3 linked regions of the Caenorhabditis elegans genome follow. The protein of the gene in region 1 interacts with the protein of each later gene in a pairwise test. Each region holds a gene or a part of one and is shown in the gene's direction. Other genes may lie near its edges. The genes, in order: ufd-1, evl-18 and npl-4.2.

Region 1 (3,777 bases):
CTGAAAAATGGTCACTGCAAGATTTGAAAATTCCTTTTTGAAATCTGAAATCAGCGCCAACCTTTCTGAAATTTCTGAATCTGACTGCAAAAATACGGTACCCGGTCTCGACACGACAAATGTTTGTTAAACAAAAGTGTGCGCCTTGAAATAGTACTGTAGTTTCAATTTCTTATCACTGCGGATTTTTTGTTTTATTTTAAGTTTTGTTTATGGTTTCAATCAAGTTTTTTAATACAGAAATAATTTTTATAGAAAAACTACAAAGAATCAATAAAAATTCTGCAGTAATTTAAAATTACAGTAATCTTTAAAGGCGCTCTTTCAGCAAAAAATCTGTCGAATCGAGACCGGCTACCGTATTTTCGGCTTAAGAATTGCAAAGTTTCAGATCTTGGTTTCGGATATTCGGATATTAATGTTCTATTGTTTCCAATATAAGAATAAACTTTTTCTAAATAAAACTTGAAAACTAAACAATTGAAAACGTCTAAAATAGGCTCAACCATCTAGAAACTTTAATTTTTATTTCAGAACTATTGGCAAACGAAAGGACGCTCAGATTTGTGGTCTTCCAATCATGCGAGCCGGCGAATGTATGGAGACTGCTCTTCGCTCAATCGTCAAGGACTGCGTGATCGGAAAAATTTTGATTCAAACCAACGAGACGACGTTTGATCCAGAACTTCATTATATACGTTTGCCACCACACATAACTCGATACAAAGTTATCATTATGGACGCCACCGTAACTACTGGGAGTGCTGCGATGATGGCAATTCGTGTACTTCTTGATCATGATGTTAAAGAGGAAGACATATTTGTTGCATCTCTGCTTATGGGTCAACAAGGTGCACATGCACTGGCTTATGCCTTCCCGAAGGTTTACAATTTTTTATTTGAATTAAAAATTATTAATTTTCAGGTTAAATTAATCACCACCGCAATGGACCACCAAATGACGGAAAATTGCTATCTGATTCCCGGAATGGGCAATTTTGGTGATCGATATTACGGAACCGGGCTCGAACAAGACATGGACGAGCCATTCGATATGTGATCATCTGTTATCACAAAAATGATCAATTTTCTTCATAATTTATCAAAGTTTCTGTTTTCCTTCCATTTCATCTGATGAATTCCTACTTTCTTGTTCCTTTTCACTAACTTTATTATTATAATTATAATTATTCATAATGTTCTTTCTTTCCCATCATCATATCCATCCTTCTATACATTTTGTTTCCATTTGTTGTTGAAATTTTATATGCTATTTCATTTTTTGTCGTCCTTTTTTTCCGTTCTTCATTTTATTGACTTCTCTTCATGATTTCTGGCATTCAGCTCGATAATTCATTTATACCCTGTTCTTTCTAGTGTTTTTTCGCGTTGTTTGTGACGGTTAAATTCTTCCCTCTACATCTTTGCGCGTTTCCACACAAAAATCTGTACACGACATTCGGTTTTCTCGTTGTTCCATTTCTTTTTTGTTCAACGGAGCGCGTTTGTCGTTGCAGGAATCGGTTTTAATATCATCATCCATTCACGCATTCTCTTTTTCATGTTGTTCATTGTGTTTTTCTTCAATTTTTGTCAAGTTTCCTTCACACGTGCATTTTAGTAATTTCTTTCTATAATAAATTGCAGTTTGTTAAATATTTAAATGATCAATGAGCTCTCTTTTCTTGGTTGGCTCATCCTCTTTGTATTTTTTGAATTATAGTTGAAGAAAACGTTAATAACTTTTCAGAAAACCAAAAATAAAAATGCAAGCGTGGATACAACAAGGACTTCACGGGATGCAGATGGGCGGCCGAGTCGGGAATTATGATCAAACTTTTGTGGTGAGCTTTTAAAATTCATTTCGAAAGATGTTTGCAAACTTTTTTCAACAACAACTTCGCCGAACTACTCGTCATTTCGATCTCATTGTAAATAATAAATTGGATTTCAAAGATTATATTTCAGCGTTAATAAACAATTAAATTTCAGGTATATGGGCCCGTATTCCTTCCCAATGCAACACAGTCAAAAATAAGCGAAATCAATTATGGTGGAAAGATTCTTCTGCCGTCATCTGCTCTCAACTTGCTCATGCAATATAATATTCCGATGCCAATGCTTTTCAAGGTTTGTTTTGTATAGCTTGAAGTAACTAGAAAACCATTAAAATTTACAGCTAACCAATATGGCTGTTCAACGTGTAACTCATTGCGGTGTTCTTGAATTTTCTGCTCCAGAAGGACAAGCCATTCTGCCACTTTGGATGATGCAGCAATTGGGACTTGACGATGGAGATACCATTCGCATTGAGTCTGCAACTCTTCCGAAAGCCACGTTTGCTAAATTGAAGCCGATGTCACTCGAGTTTCTGAATATTACTAATCCAAAGTGAGTTTTCATAAACTCTAATAATTTTTTGAAGTTTTTGAACAAAGTCCTATATTTTTCTATTTTTCAGAGCTGTTCTTGAAGTGGAACTTCGAAAATATGCATGCCTCACCAAAAACGATCGGATCCCAACATCATATGCTGGACAAACTCTCGAATTCCTCGTCGTTGATTTGAAACCGGCCAACTCTGTGTGCATCATTGAATGTGATGTTAATCTCGATTTCGATCCTCCAGAAGGCTACGTTGAACAACCGAGACAGGTGACTCCTGCTGTCACTGCCAAGCCGCCTGCGCCAGATGCATCCGCATTTATTGGAGCTGGACAAAAAGCTGGTGGTAGTGGAGGGACAGGACAAAATGCAACTTCTGTATTCGGAGGAGCTGGGCGTCGTCTCGATGGAAAGAAGAAGCCATCATCTTCAGTATCACTCTCAGATGGAACCGGTGTTAGTACGAGTAATGCAGCTCCAGTGGCGAATGATTTGCCAGCTATTCCACCAGTGGTTGTCAATGAAGACTACAAACCAGGTAATACTTGTTTCATCTGAAATAAACATTTCAAAATAATTGAAAAGTTAAATTTTATGATTTTCAGGTCGTGTTTCATTCCTTCGTTATGATTATAAACGTGTTGATGTTCTCGAAAAAGAGCTCCGAGAGAAAGAAGCCAGCAAGGCAGGACAACCGTCAAATGTCTTCCGTGGAGGCAATCGAACACTGAGAGGAGCCCGTTAATGTCTCGAATCTGGCCAATTGTGCTATGAATAACATCTTTCACTTCACATAACCTTGTAAAAGTTCATCGCCACTTTTTTGTACAGGATAAATTTATTTGAATATATTATTCTTTGATAAGTGTGATTCAGAGATGAAATTGAAGGAGATCTCCGGAGAAAAAAATGAAATAACTAATATTATAGAACTATTCACTTGTTACAAAAATGCCTTGTAAGGTTTAAAAAATTGCAGAACTTGTTTAGATCATAAATTCTGGCTAGCGTCTGTGCTTCCGAAAACACACAAATGGACTTTTTCAATTGAAATTTTTTTGTTGAATCGAAAAATTCAATATTCAAGGAGCTCGGCCATGAAGCTGATGAACCTTCAGCGATGTCAGTGATGGGTGGAGTGGTTTCTTATCCAAACTTCTATGAATGAAAAAACCTGGAGAAAATGCTGTTTTGAAAGCCAACTCTATTTTTTGCAGAAAAAGGTCCAAATAGTCGATAGCTTCACAAAAGATCACTCGAAAATAGTCAAGATTCTGCAGGAAAAAGTCAAGTCTCAATACAAAAATTACATCTACAACACCAAAAAATCATTAAAATAAATACTAATTTATTGATACGGCGAAAGAATCGAATAAAATACAAAAAAAAAGAA
Region 2 (7,926 bases), on another chromosome or scaffold:
GGTCCATGAAGTCGACCACTTGTTTTGTGCATCCCTCGCATTCGAACAAGTACACTTTCCTAAAATAAATACTAATGTTAAGCCTTAATTAATTTTTTTTGTTTTCAAGGAAGTAAGAGTCTTTGAAAACCAATATCTCAAAAATTGCAAACATTTTTCGGCGCCAAAACTTACGTGTGTATCGAAAAATGGGTCAGAGTGTCGGAAAATGTGCCGACGAAGTTACACTCATCGCCCCTCCGATTTTTCATGAACCGACATCTGAAGAAGTTTTTATTCTGTTCATAACTATCGGTTCTGCAAAAAAGCTATTTTTGTTGATGAAATATTCGCATTACTCACATTAATGCCTTAATATAAGGTTCCATATGCCGCCGTCAATTGATTGAGCTGAAAATTAGAATTGTGTTGAGAGCATATAAGGAAAAAAGAAAATTAAGACGGAGAATTGTGCAACTGAAAATATTCGAGAGGACCCTATTGTACACGTGGCATATCCATAAATATGTGCCACGAGCTGGGGAGCGAGGTTAAGGTCACGTTAAACATTTTATTAATTCGAATTTATATGGCAGGTTTCATAAAATTAAGTTGTTTTTCTCTTATATCCTAGACTTTTTAATAAGGTAAAAATCGACGAATTTGTAGCTTCCTTTAAAAATTAAAAATGTTATAGTAGATTACAAAAATGGCCAGAGTAGAGCGCATGTATGAATATTCAATGGTGGCGTCCGTGTTTTGTGTAAAATATTCTCATTGTGTACAATATTGTAGGAATACACTCAAAACAAATAGTGTTGCCTCGACATTTGCAATTTGAAAGTGTTACAGCACCCTTTTGATTTTATGAATATAGAAAAAATGTGCGAGAAAAATCAACGAGCGTCCCCGATTTGCCAATAAATCGTGGCAAAAAGGAAGAAAAACGAATAGATACGTGGTATGAGCGGAAGGAAGAGTTCGTTCGTCCTTCCAAAATAAACTGAGCTTTCTCTCTCTTCTACTCGGTTTTTATACCCGCTTTTTACGGGAGTGGATGGGCGGTGTGAAGCCAAGTGACGCGCCGCCGGTGCGTCACATGGCTTTTCCCAGTAACACGTGGTCTAGATACGAGCGGCTGCAGGGAACAAAGAAACATGCCAGGAATTCAATTAAATGCATTTGAAACCGGAATTTTCCGACCAAAAATTGTTTAAATTATTGAAAACGACAGAAATTAAATATTTGAATTTCGCCTAAAACAAAACAAAACATTTTCGTTGCGAGACCCACAACTCCAGAAAATGCGTGCTCCTTTAAACTAATTTCGCTTTTTCAACTGAATTAGCTGAATTTTGTGAATAATCAAAGAAAATAAGGAGGACTCCTTCCCCCGGAGGGTATTTGAGAGAAAAAAACAAAAAGTTAAATACAGTAACTGAAAAAACTCAATAAACGTAGATATTTAACTTACGAAAGAAAAACCTCCTCGCCTTGAATGTAACCTACGCGTGTCTGTGTTCATAAAATCCTGATGTGTATTTATTCATATTATTTTCTATGAGTTTGAAATTGAAATACAAAAATTTGTAAATATTGTATAATATTTACATTTCTGACCAAATCTACTCAATCCTCCTCCCCGTTCACCGCGTGCGCGATGACGTCTTCTCCAAACACTCCAGATGACGTAACATACCACCATTCTGTCATTCAGCAACAGCACATTATTATTTTCAATTGAATTGCCCACTTTTAGATTTATTTCTGTAGATTTTTCGGTTTTCAATTCAGTTTTTGCGAGAAATCGAGAAATGCAATTGCGCCCTGCCGCACTCTCAACGCGCGAAGCCATTAATTTGAAACGAACGCATCTTTTTTCACACTTTTCTGGTGATTTTCTCGAGATTTTTTGCTTATTATCTTTTTGAAATTAATAAAAAATAATTTTAAATCAATATTATAAATTTCAGATGATCATCGAAGACAACTTTCGGCAGGAATTCTACAATAAAATCAAGAAAGGCGATAAAGTGAGTTTAAAGTCATTTTTACTCCATTTTCACGTTATTTCTGCTTCAGAGTGTGGTTCTAATCGTTTCAGTCGACACGGATGCATTATGCACGACGATGATTTTGACGGTAATAATGCAATTTATTTATAAATCAATGATTATTTATTTTCTTTTGAACGGAGTAAAGTCTCCGCGTGAGATCGACAAAAATTATTCCACAAAAGATCCAAAATGGGATGAAATAGACAATATATGGAATTGAAAGTGCAAATGTCAGCCGAATTGCGATGAGAACCTCGAAAACCACTTTGCAAGTGATGCATACTGAAAATCGATTTTTTTTATTCAAAAAATATATTTATTTTCGTACTAACCGAACTGTCCTGTGTAAACATTATTGAATGGATACAAAAAGTTCCAGAAAGCGCGGATTCCGAGGTTTTGCTGTCCATTTGTGCGTAATTCGGAGTAAATGTTGTAAAAGAGCACTCCGAAGCACGCAGCGTCTGTGGCAAAAACTATAAGACAAAGGAAAATGTACTGTTTGTCGCCACTTGAATTATCCTGGAATTATTGTCTCCGGTTTATTGAAAATATTTCAATTTATCTTTCATTTCTGCTCACCAAAAACAGAGCCAAACAAATCGTGGTGGCAAGAAGGTCAAGGAAGACACAGATCGCTTTTTGACCCGATAAAAGTCGCATATTCATAAATGAACTCAATTTTATTCACATAATATTGAGAAAAATAGTCGATGGAGACAATAAGAGGGGGAGGGTGCAGAGAAAGAGAAGCGTACGAGAGAGCGCGGTTGCTGTGAGAGCATTAGATAGAACAATTATTCAAATTTCAGCATCTGCTACGCTGTGATGACATCCCATTCTCGATTCTTGCAGTGGAAGGATGGAGCTCGGTGGAGAAGATTTTTGCAGATTCACAAGAGCAAAGTATGTGAGAGAGTCGAAATATCCCCAATTTTTAATTAAAAAATAATTCCGTCACCGTTACCACACGGAAAAGTGGCAAAATTGGAGTAAAAATACAGTATCCGGTCTCGATACGAAAGATAGTACTGTAATTTTGAGCTCCCGTTTTTGCGCAATTCATATCGATGTGTTAGATTTATGTGATTTTATTTTTTAATATATAGTGTTTTTTTTAAAATAAACACATATTTTTAACGAGAAAACTATGAAAAATCGATAAAATTGCTCATCAACGAAAGTTTGAACCTACAGTACTCTTTAAAGGCGCACACTTTTTCGCAATTAGCAAATATTTGTCTGTCGAGATCCGGCGGAACTCTATACCGCCATATCAATTTCTAAGAAGTTTTATCACAATTTTCGGAATTTCGGAGCAAGATTTCCGCTGTTTCCTTTAATAAATTGATAAAAAAACATTTTTTATTACATTTTTATTACAGAATGTCATTATATCCTAATCAATTGCGGAGCAACACGATCCCTGACACGACTACAAATCCCGCCGGCTTCAATAGCATTTGTCATTGATTCTCATCGACCATTTCACATTGAGAATGTCTATGAAAATGGTCAAATTCATTTATTGGCAAATCCAAGTGAAATGAGCGAATTGCAAATTCCTGATCTTGAATCTGTGATTCGAGAGGATTCTGACGATGAAGAAGATTCAGATGAAGATGAAGATCAAGAGTACATCTCATATGAACAACGAATGGAAAAGATTCGACGGAAAGCGATTAAGAGGGAAGAAATGCAAATATGGGAAAGGCAGAGGAGGACAATTCTCTGGAGATACTACGAATCGACGTGGTTCAGCTCGCCGAGCTGTGTGACTTTACTCGAGATGGCCGCAGAAATGAACAGAGTATCTGCTGAAACTATGTGGTTTACTGCGGTCGGGTTGAATAGTGCGATGGCTGATAAATTGGTAAGTTTTAGGTGTGAAGGCTTTGAGCGAATCAAAAATTTCGGTTTCCTCTGAAAAATATCGAAAAAAAATTTTATGACGAAAGAAAAACATCGATTTTTGGCTCAAAAAATGATGCAATTTATCGGATCGATCTTTAATTTCAGGAAAATACGATGGTACAGTAGTTCTTAAAGGCGCATACTCTTTCAAAATCCAAAAAAATCGTGTAGAGACCAAGTTTTTAGGGCAAAAAATGGTATTTTTGGGTTTTTTCAAAAATAATATAATCCAGACACAAAATTTTGCGATTTTTGCGCCAAAAATACGGCGCCCGAGGTATTGACAACTGCTGAAAGATGTGCGCCTTTAAAGAGTACTGTAGCTTTAAATTCTCGTTGTTGCGAAATTTCATCGTTTTTGACAAATTTTTGAATGAAAAAAAAAATTGAATACATTTTTTATCAAAAAAAACTATAGATAATCGATGAAAATTCCGCGACAACGAAAATTGAAAGCTACAGTAAACTTTAAAGACGCAGACATTTTTATATTCCACACAAAGGTGTTGTTTCGAGACCTATAGCATTTCAAATTGATTAATAATTATGTTAAAACACCCCAAAAATCTACAGATTTTGAACAATTTTCAGTAAAAAAATTGGCAAATTACCAATTATCGCTAAAATTGCACTATTACACAATTTAAAAAGCCATAAAACAGTATTTTATACAACTTTTTTTCAGATCTCAATTGAAATGTACACCCAAATCTGTGTAGATCGAATGCGTCCGTTTGTCCATCGATTTATGCCAAAAAATATAGTGAATCAAGGAAAAGTGGATGATCTCTTGCATATTACATTTGGCCGAGAACTACCACTTGCTCTATATTCACATTGGGATTTGTTCAGTGCAATGATGGTCAGCGAGTATTTCTCGATTAAAACAAAAAATTGGACACAAAAAGGAGATGTGAATATTCGACATTTACTTGCTCAACTTGGAATCACTCTTCACGAAACAAAACAAAAATTCGAAGCTCTTCCAACGGAGCAACGGAATTTGGTGGTTGATGTTCTGGAAAAAGAAATGGATTCATCGTTTGCAACATTTTTTGGAACTCTTGGATATTGTGGGAAGTTGAGTGCATGTGATGTTGCAAGAGCTGTCACTTTACGATTGGAAATGCCGAAAAGTGAAACTGTAAGGGTTTTTTTTTGTAAAAATTTATATTTTTAGCCATTCTCTTCCAATATTTTAAATTAAAATTCAGTGATAAAGTATAGAAAAATATTTAGTTTATCTGAAAATAACTATTAATTTACTTGGAACAACTGAAAAAGTTCTCAATAATTCTCTGATTTTTTCGAGCAATTTTCAACTTTCAGATAACTTTTTGCACTCTTTAAACAATTAAAAGTGCTGAAAAATTATCTGGAAGTTGAGAACTCTCGGAACAAAATCTACCAGCTTTTAGACAATTATTTGAGCATTTCTCCAATTGTTCCAACTGAAATAAAAGGTATTTTCAGATAAATCAAATATTTTTTCTAATATTCTGAAATGCCAAAAAATAAAAATATATTATTCCAGATAATGAATCGTTTCCGATCCGGTCAATCAATCCTCAGATCATCAATAACTGGAGAACGACAAGATCGCCTGAATCTCAACAACACGTTCACTTCGATCTGCCAACGAACGCTTCAAGTGTCGTGGAAAACCGTCGCGGCGGCTATTAATCAATCGGAGATTATTCCAAATGGGCCGTATTATCTATTCTCGTGCTCACGGTCCATTGGTACGGATTTTAGAATCATTTGGAAAAAGTCAAATCGGAGAAAATAAAAACTCGATTTTTAAGCATTTTATTAGCATAATCAGAAGATGAAGTTCGATGGGGTCATGTGTTGTGGCTCGGCTATCACTTGGCTCCGCGAGTAGATCCACCAGTTGATTTTCCAGATGCTTCCTCAGCGACGCGAGCCTCTCTCTGTAATTTATTTTTGATGGGAAAATTAGTTGAAATTTTGAATTCAGAAATCCTCAAAGCGGTTTTTGAAAAAAACTCAAATTCGAATTCCCGCAATTTTTTTGATTAAATTCTGAATTCCCCGAGAAGCTAATGTTTCCAAATAACAAAATGCTTACCTTTGCAACCTTGCAAGCTCTGGCATGAGCCATTCTCTCCACCTGCATCTTCTTCTTCATTCGCTTTGGCATCAATTTCTTTGCGGCAGCCATTGCAGACCTTCTTCACAAGTTTCGATAACTAGAACTAACGAGAACTGATTTTGTTTCAAAAAGTTGAAGGAGAGTGGGAAATAAAAAAATCAGGCTTCACGTTTCTCGCGTCATTTGTTTTGAATTTTTTAAATAATTTCTTTTGAACAGATTAATTTTTCGCGTGTAAAAATCTTTTTGGACATCTGCTCTTTTGGTCTGGGGTCTTGGTTGGGGTTTTCAGAGAAAATCAGAAATTTTGAAAATTAATAAAACATTAAATTTTTAAATCAAATTTTGTTGATGTTGATGGGAAAAAATTGAAAACTAGTGAGAAAATTTAGTACTTTTATAGTCTAAAAAATATATTTCCAGACGAGGATATGGTCGACTCACGTCATTTTCTCTACAACACCGCCGGATTCATGATTCGCGCCTTTGCCTCAATGAAGAAAGGACGTACAACAAAGCCGCTAATCGCAATGTTCCCATTGACTGGAGAGAGTGCTGGATGGCTTGTAGTCACTGGAGTTATGCCGATTGCCACAATTTATGAGGATTCACTACTTAAAACGTAATATTCGGCCTGTAATTTTAACTTTAAAATTGATTATTTTCAGGTGTATTGGTCGTGCTTTCGAACGAGTAAAGAAAATGACTCCACCACTTCGTATCGTTGATGACTACTTTAATTCTGATATTATTCGCTTGAAATCTGAAGATCGTACTCGTTTTATTGATTTTCTGCAGACTGTCTTTGAGGGCACATCCAACTGATCTCTTACAGGCGTTTCTACCTATTGCACCATCTTGTTCCAATGCTTTTAATGAAAAAAAAAGTCTTAAAATATAGAGCATTACTTAATTTATCGGAAAATAGCTGAAAATGGCTTGGAAACTGCCATTTTTAGGCGATTTTCCTGCGTTTTCTGTGATAAATCAAGTGATTTTCTATATTTTGACACTAATTTTTAATGAAAAACATGGTGCATTAGGCTATTTTGTAGAATTGCCTCCTACTGTTATAATGTTCAATCTTTCTCATACACGGGCACACTGACTTTCCGAGTTTAATTTTTATTATCAATTTCTGAAATTATTTCCCCTATTTACTTCTCCACTTCTCATTTCATTGTCACATATTCACTTTATTTTGATCAGTTTTCACGTGAACATATTGTAATTTTTTTTCTGATGATGATTTTTTTCTGATGATTGATTAAATCAACTTCCAACTTCTTCAAACTAATTTATTTTATATTTTATCTAGTCTCAAATTTACGCACTTATCATTTTTCTACTCGAAAATGTCTACGCATAAGGTATGTTCGAGTTGGCCGATTTTCCTGATTAATTGAGGATTTTCTAGCAATCATATTTTGTGAGTTCAACACCGAATGGTCTTGATGGAGCTCAATATCTTGCTGTAAATCGTGATGGAAGTGTTCTTTATGGTCTTAAAGTTCGCATCGTATTGAGCATAGTTGAAGCTCCGGAACAAGCTCCAGAAGTCATCACTACAGCAACTGAAAAGTCTATCTGCAAATACCACGTGGCATCCGGAAACACAAAAACGTTCCAACTTGACGACGATATTGATCCGCTTCTTCTCGCTCGAATTATTGAATTTTATATGATTTCGGATAATATTGTCGCGCTGATTTCTTACGATTCAGAGCATTTTCAAGTTATACAGACACTTATTCATCTGGAACATTCGAAAGAATGGGCTCAGACGATTGTCGTGAGAAGATTGACTATTAGCAGAATGTCTGGGCCCCCATTAGTTAGTGAGTCAATCGGTTTTTTATC
Region 3 (4,520 bases), on another chromosome or scaffold:
TGAGTGCGGAGAAGTCCGATGAGAGCGAAATATCCAAGCTTGAAGTAGAGATCCGATTGACCGAATTCATCGGCGACCGAATCCGGATTGCGTTTTTCCTGGAACGACTGTAGAGTTGAAAGCAAAAAAATAATATTGAATTAAACAAACCTTCAATGCCTTGAGCTGCTCCACAATTTGGGATTTTGATAGAAGCGAATAGAGAATGTTGAGAACTGGATAGATATTCCACGCGTTCTGATTTTCTTCGATATTGATGAGATCTTCAACTTCATCAGCATTGCGTTTTCCTGGGTTAGCCTTGTAGAGACAGAATGCCTGAATATTTATATTACGTACAAACTCTACCAAAAAATATTACCTGGAATTGATAGACGAATTCGTCGATAATATCCCAAAGCCACACGTTAGGGAGAGACAATGGAATTGGATCCTTGCTTGAGAGAAGCTCAGAGAATAACTCTTGATAGTTCATGAACGACTCATAGCGATGGACAAGGAGTGGTCCACGAGTATTTCTTGCATACAGCTGGCGATAATAGAGTTCCTTGTAGAGAATTATGAACAACTTGTTGCCAGGTCCAATAATTCTTTCGACAACATTCTCATCGGGCCACATGCGATCACGGAAGAATCTGAAATTAAAAGATAAATAGAAAACAATTTGAGATTATTAAATATTACCTCTCGGTGAGATCTGGAAAAGCTTGATCGTAGAGAGTCAAAATTTCCGGCACATTTTGTTCGTCAACCATGCGGGAAAAGTAGACCAGGTAGTCGGCGACCTCATTTGGAACTCCATCCTCATCGGCTGAAGCTGTTAAAAATTAAGAAATGAGATAAGTTTGTGTTGTTAACAAGCACCTAAATAACTACCATAAATATGTTTATAGAATTACTCTATTGATTGATTATCAATTTTTCTTTTGAAAAGATTTCACAATGCACGATCATTGATCCTCTGATACTCAACTTCTCTCTCGGGCTTTTAAATGATTAACTTCTTATGAACTCTTATGAACACCTTTTCATTTATTATTTCTTTCAAATGAATAAAGCTGTGATTCATTTAATCTGAGATTTGAGGATATTCGACACCGAAAAACACTGAAAATGACAAAAGTAGTCATTTTCATATACAATGAGGGAGTTCTGAGAATTGGCATTGATTCTTCACTGTAACAGTATTTGGAAAATTTGGTTTTTCTGAATTTTATGTATTTTGCTCATGGAATGTTAATCTGCAGTTTTTATGCAAAATTATTTCAGACCAAATTCTCCAAATGTCTGTTTGCCGAATTAAAATAAATCGGTTAATCAAAAAAGGACCGAGTCTTCAGTCTTTTCGAACTGTTTCAAATTTTAACATTTTTCAACTCATTTTACTCTTATTCATCAATTCTGAAAAATAGCATTCTGTGAACTTACAAGAAAAGGTGTTGGTGCGACGACGATCAGAGTGATCTTCAGTGGATAAATCGAATTCCACGCGTCGAGACATTACTGAAAGAAGGTTTTTATATTGATATTATTTAAATGTCAAACTAAATTCGAAAAGGTACGCTAAAATTAAGAGAAAACATTTTTTTAATTGTAAAATTTGATGAAAGGAATTGGAAAATGTGATGGAAAAAAGAAAATTGCAAGCGTTGCATGGGATTTCGCAAGAGTGCCGCACGGTTTTTTGTGTACGCATTTGCTCGTCATTCATGTTGTCTAGGCAGTTTTGATGACATTTTTTATTCTAAAAACAAAATGTTTTATTTCATTTGCTGTTTAATGTTTGAATATGTATGGAAACTAATTTGATACCCTTTCCGCTGCATTATTTTTGCAAAATCTCAAAATTATATATCTTCAATTCACTACCTAGAAGGCATATCTTCCTGCATTTAAAAATCTATTTTATTTCAGATATGGTAATTGAAGTCCCTCAAACTGAGCGTGTCAACGACGTTGATGTTTTTTTAAGCACGCAAGATGGTCAAATTCAGCGTCCAAAAGGGCCCAACTGTCGGCATCCTGTACGTCAAAAGTGCACTAATTGTTTGCCTGTTGATGTAAGTGATATTTTCTGTTGTTTTCATAGAAACTAATATCAATATTTACAGCCATTCGATGAAGAATATTTGAAAGAAAAAGATATCAAGCATATGAGCTTCCATGCACATGTTCGCAAGCTCCTTGGATCCCAGGGGAAGGGCACGACTCTCAAAAAACCGCTGGAAAACTTTCGATGTTCATTAAAACCCAACTGTGATGCTCACAAGCCGTTCCCGAAAGGAATTTGCACTAAATGCAAACCACAGGTTGTAACATTGAATCGTCAAAAGTTTCGTCATGTTGATAACATTCAAATTGAAAATCAAGAGCTTGTAAATCAGTTTTTGGATTATTGGAGACTATCGGGCCATCAGCGTGTTGGATTTTTAATTGGACAGTATCAGCCTCACCTTGAAGTTCCACTAGGAATCAAGGTAAGTTCAGTACTTCATCACTCATTTCTTGAGACGAGTTATTTCATTGCTCATACTTTCAGGCTACAGTGGCTGCAATTTATGAACCTCCACAACACTGCCGTGAAGATGGAATTGAGTTTTTGGAGGATAAAAATCAAAAAACTATTGACAATTTGCTGGAAATGCTTGGCTTGCAACGTGTTGGATGGATCTTCACAGATTGTTGGACAGCTAATAGTGCTGAAGGAACTGTACATTATACACGGCACAAGGTGAGAACAATCTCGAAGAGAAGCCCAAAAAACGAATAATTTTTCAGGATTCCTTCTTCCTATCAGCTGAGGAATGCATCACCGCAGCAATGCTTCAAAATCAACATCCAAACATCACAGAGTACTCGATGGATCGTCACTATGGATCCAAATTTGTGACCGTTGTTGCATCTGGTGATGAATCGATGCATGTTAATTTCCACGGATATCAAGTTTCAAATCAATGTGCGGCCATGGTTGAAGCTGATATTCTCTGTCCAACACTGTACACTCCTGAATTGGCTTATGTTCGAGAGACACCATTATCCGAAGAACATTATATAACTGATGTTCAATTTTCGATGAAAAATGAATACGGAGCCGAGGTTATGAAAAACGGACGACCACTTCCAGTTGAATATTTGCTGGTGGATGTTCCTGCTGGAATGCCAAAAGAGCCTCACTACACGTTCCACGTTGGCACATCTAATAAATCGAAGAGTGCCAAATTTAATGTTGAAAATCGACAAGCAATTGGACAACTTCAAGGAGGTGCAAATTTGATTCAATATTCATCCGAATTCTCTACAAATCAATTTTTGGAACAGGCTACAAACTTCCACTTTTTGCTCTATTTAGTAACCAATGACCAAGTGCAGATTTCTGATGAATGGATGAAACGATTGTGTGATGCAGTTAAAGCTCAGGACAGAGGAACTGCAATGGAATGGGCTCAGGAATGTGAAGATTGGCATCAGTTGATGGCTTTAGCGCATGCTAATGGAGGAAGCGGCAATGACGGTAAGCTATTATTTTAGTGTGTTTTTGCTTCTCCGCTTTCACGAAGAATTTTTTATATCAATTTCTCATAGTTTCAGATATTCCTGTCATTCCAAATGGTGATCCTTTCTCCGGATCAAGCAGTGGTGGATCAAGAGGAGCCGTTTGGAGCTGTGGACACTGTACATTCCAAAACGAAGCAGGAAGACAGGATTGCTCGATGTGTGGATTGCCAGCTGCCGATTAAAAATTATCATCTCAAAAAGTATATTTATTGAATGTTATTATTCTACTCGGTTTCTGTAAATTTCTATTCATTTTCCCGCTTTTCTACTAGTGTATTTCTACTGGTATGCTCTGTAAAGTCACCCACAAATGAATTCTTTTCTCCATATTTTTCATGAAGACAAATTAAGAATTAATTCTAAAACAAAAGCAAAGCTTTAGGAGAATTTGGAAAAAATAACTTTGTTGCATCTGGTGAAAAAAAATAACACTTTATTTTTTATTATATCATCGTTTTTTTAATTATTCACAACTGGTGGAATACCAGTATTAAATATCGCAAATTATCGAATCGGAGTTGGACCCGTGGAATCGAAGATGGTGAGTATTTCAAATCTTTTTCCCTCTTGCAGGCGATGAAAAGAAGAAAGAAGATTGTGATGAATTGAAGAAGAAAGAAGAAAGAAGAAATAATAAAAAAACCCTAAGCTAAGATAATCTGTAACTATAGTGTAGTCATATAATTTGCTACTATAGTTTAGACTCACCGAAACCTAATCTAGGTGATGAACATTTTGTATAGACTTTTGTGAAAAGTTGAAACTGTAGTTTTCCCGCTTCTCGTTATTCAATTAGGAACTTCCATACTAAGACTACTAAGTTCATTCATCTTCTTGATTGTGTAAGATCCGGTAAACTGAGGAGACAATTTATCGCGTTTTTCTTTTTGTAGAAGTGCTTAATTCCCCTTTTGAAAACAGCATCATCGATCTTCTCAGTTTATTCATAAGACGAATTCCTCTTT

Evidence for each region.
Region 2: the proteins of ufd-1 (region 1) and evl-18 interact in a two-hybrid assay, tested with the Caenorhabditis elegans proteins (one study listed by BioGRID).
Region 3: the proteins of ufd-1 (region 1) and npl-4.2 interact in a two-hybrid assay, tested with the Caenorhabditis elegans proteins (2 studies listed by BioGRID).

The regions. Positions count from the first base shown.
Region 1 is NC_003282.8:12,328,864-12,332,640, reverse strand, and holds ufd-1 (Ubiquitin fusion degradation protein 1 homolog), read left to right. Parts: upstream 1-1,750; 5' UTR 1,751-1,766; coding exon 1,767-1,844; intron 1,845-1,865; exon of another isoform or gene 1,866-1,871; coding exon of another isoform or gene 1,872-1,931; intron 1,932-1,992; coding exon 1,993-2,130; intron 2,131-2,179; coding exon 2,180-2,391; intron 2,392-2,461; coding exon 2,462-2,922; intron 2,923-2,989; coding exon 2,990-3,129; 3' UTR 3,130-3,233; downstream 3,234-3,777. Other genes in the region: F19B6.1 (Uridine kinase), read left to right, coding at 535-883, 926-1,060. UniProt on the Caenorhabditis elegans protein: Functions at a post-ubiquitination step in the ubiquitin fusion degradation (UFD) pathway. In association with npl-4.1 and/or npl-4.2 and ATPase cdc-48.1 and/or cdc-48.2, involved in the cytoplasmic elimination of misfolded proteins exported from the ER.
Region 2 is NC_003281.10:3,729,066-3,736,991, reverse strand, and holds evl-18 (Cell division control protein 45 homolog), read left to right. Parts: upstream 1-1,952; coding exon 1,953-2,012; intron 2,013-2,061; coding exon 2,062-2,121; intron 2,122-2,140; exon of another isoform or gene 2,141-2,145; coding exon of another isoform or gene 2,146-2,318; intron 2,319-2,368; coding exon of another isoform or gene 2,369-2,558; intron 2,559-2,618; coding exon of another isoform or gene 2,619-2,699; exon of another isoform or gene 2,700-2,737; intron 2,738-2,848; coding exon 2,849-2,942; intron 2,943-3,421; coding exon 3,422-3,909; intron 3,910-4,635; coding exon 4,636-5,094; intron 5,095-5,484; coding exon 5,485-5,692; intron 5,693-5,743; exon of another isoform or gene 5,744-5,815; coding exon of another isoform or gene 5,816-5,884; intron 5,885-6,042; coding exon of another isoform or gene 6,043-6,135; exon of another isoform or gene 6,136-6,217; intron 6,218-6,489; coding exon 6,490-6,688; intron 6,689-6,734; coding exon 6,735-6,891; 3' UTR 6,892-7,352; downstream 7,353-7,926. Other genes in the region: F34D10.4 (C2H2-type domain-containing protein), read right to left, coding at 1-59, 175-297, 343-368; F34D10.3 (Serpentine Receptor, class E (Epsilon)), read right to left, coding at 2,146-2,318, 2,369-2,558, 2,619-2,699; F34D10.8 (uncharacterized protein), read right to left, coding at 5,816-5,884, 6,043-6,135; F34D10.9 (CPSF_A domain-containing protein), read left to right, coding at 7,422-7,436, 7,484-7,904.
Region 3 is NC_003280.10:5,620,981-5,625,500, forward strand, and holds npl-4.2 (Nuclear protein localization protein 4 homolog 2), read left to right. Parts: upstream 1-1,908; 5' UTR 1,909-1,916; coding exon 1,917-2,060; intron 2,061-2,111; coding exon 2,112-2,477; intron 2,478-2,539; coding exon 2,540-2,731; intron 2,732-2,778; coding exon 2,779-3,511; intron 3,512-3,582; coding exon 3,583-3,737; 3' UTR 3,738-3,886; downstream 3,887-4,520. Other genes in the region: eif-3.L (Eukaryotic translation initiation factor 3 subunit L), read right to left, coding at 1-107, 151-318, 362-635, 685-811, 1,429-1,501.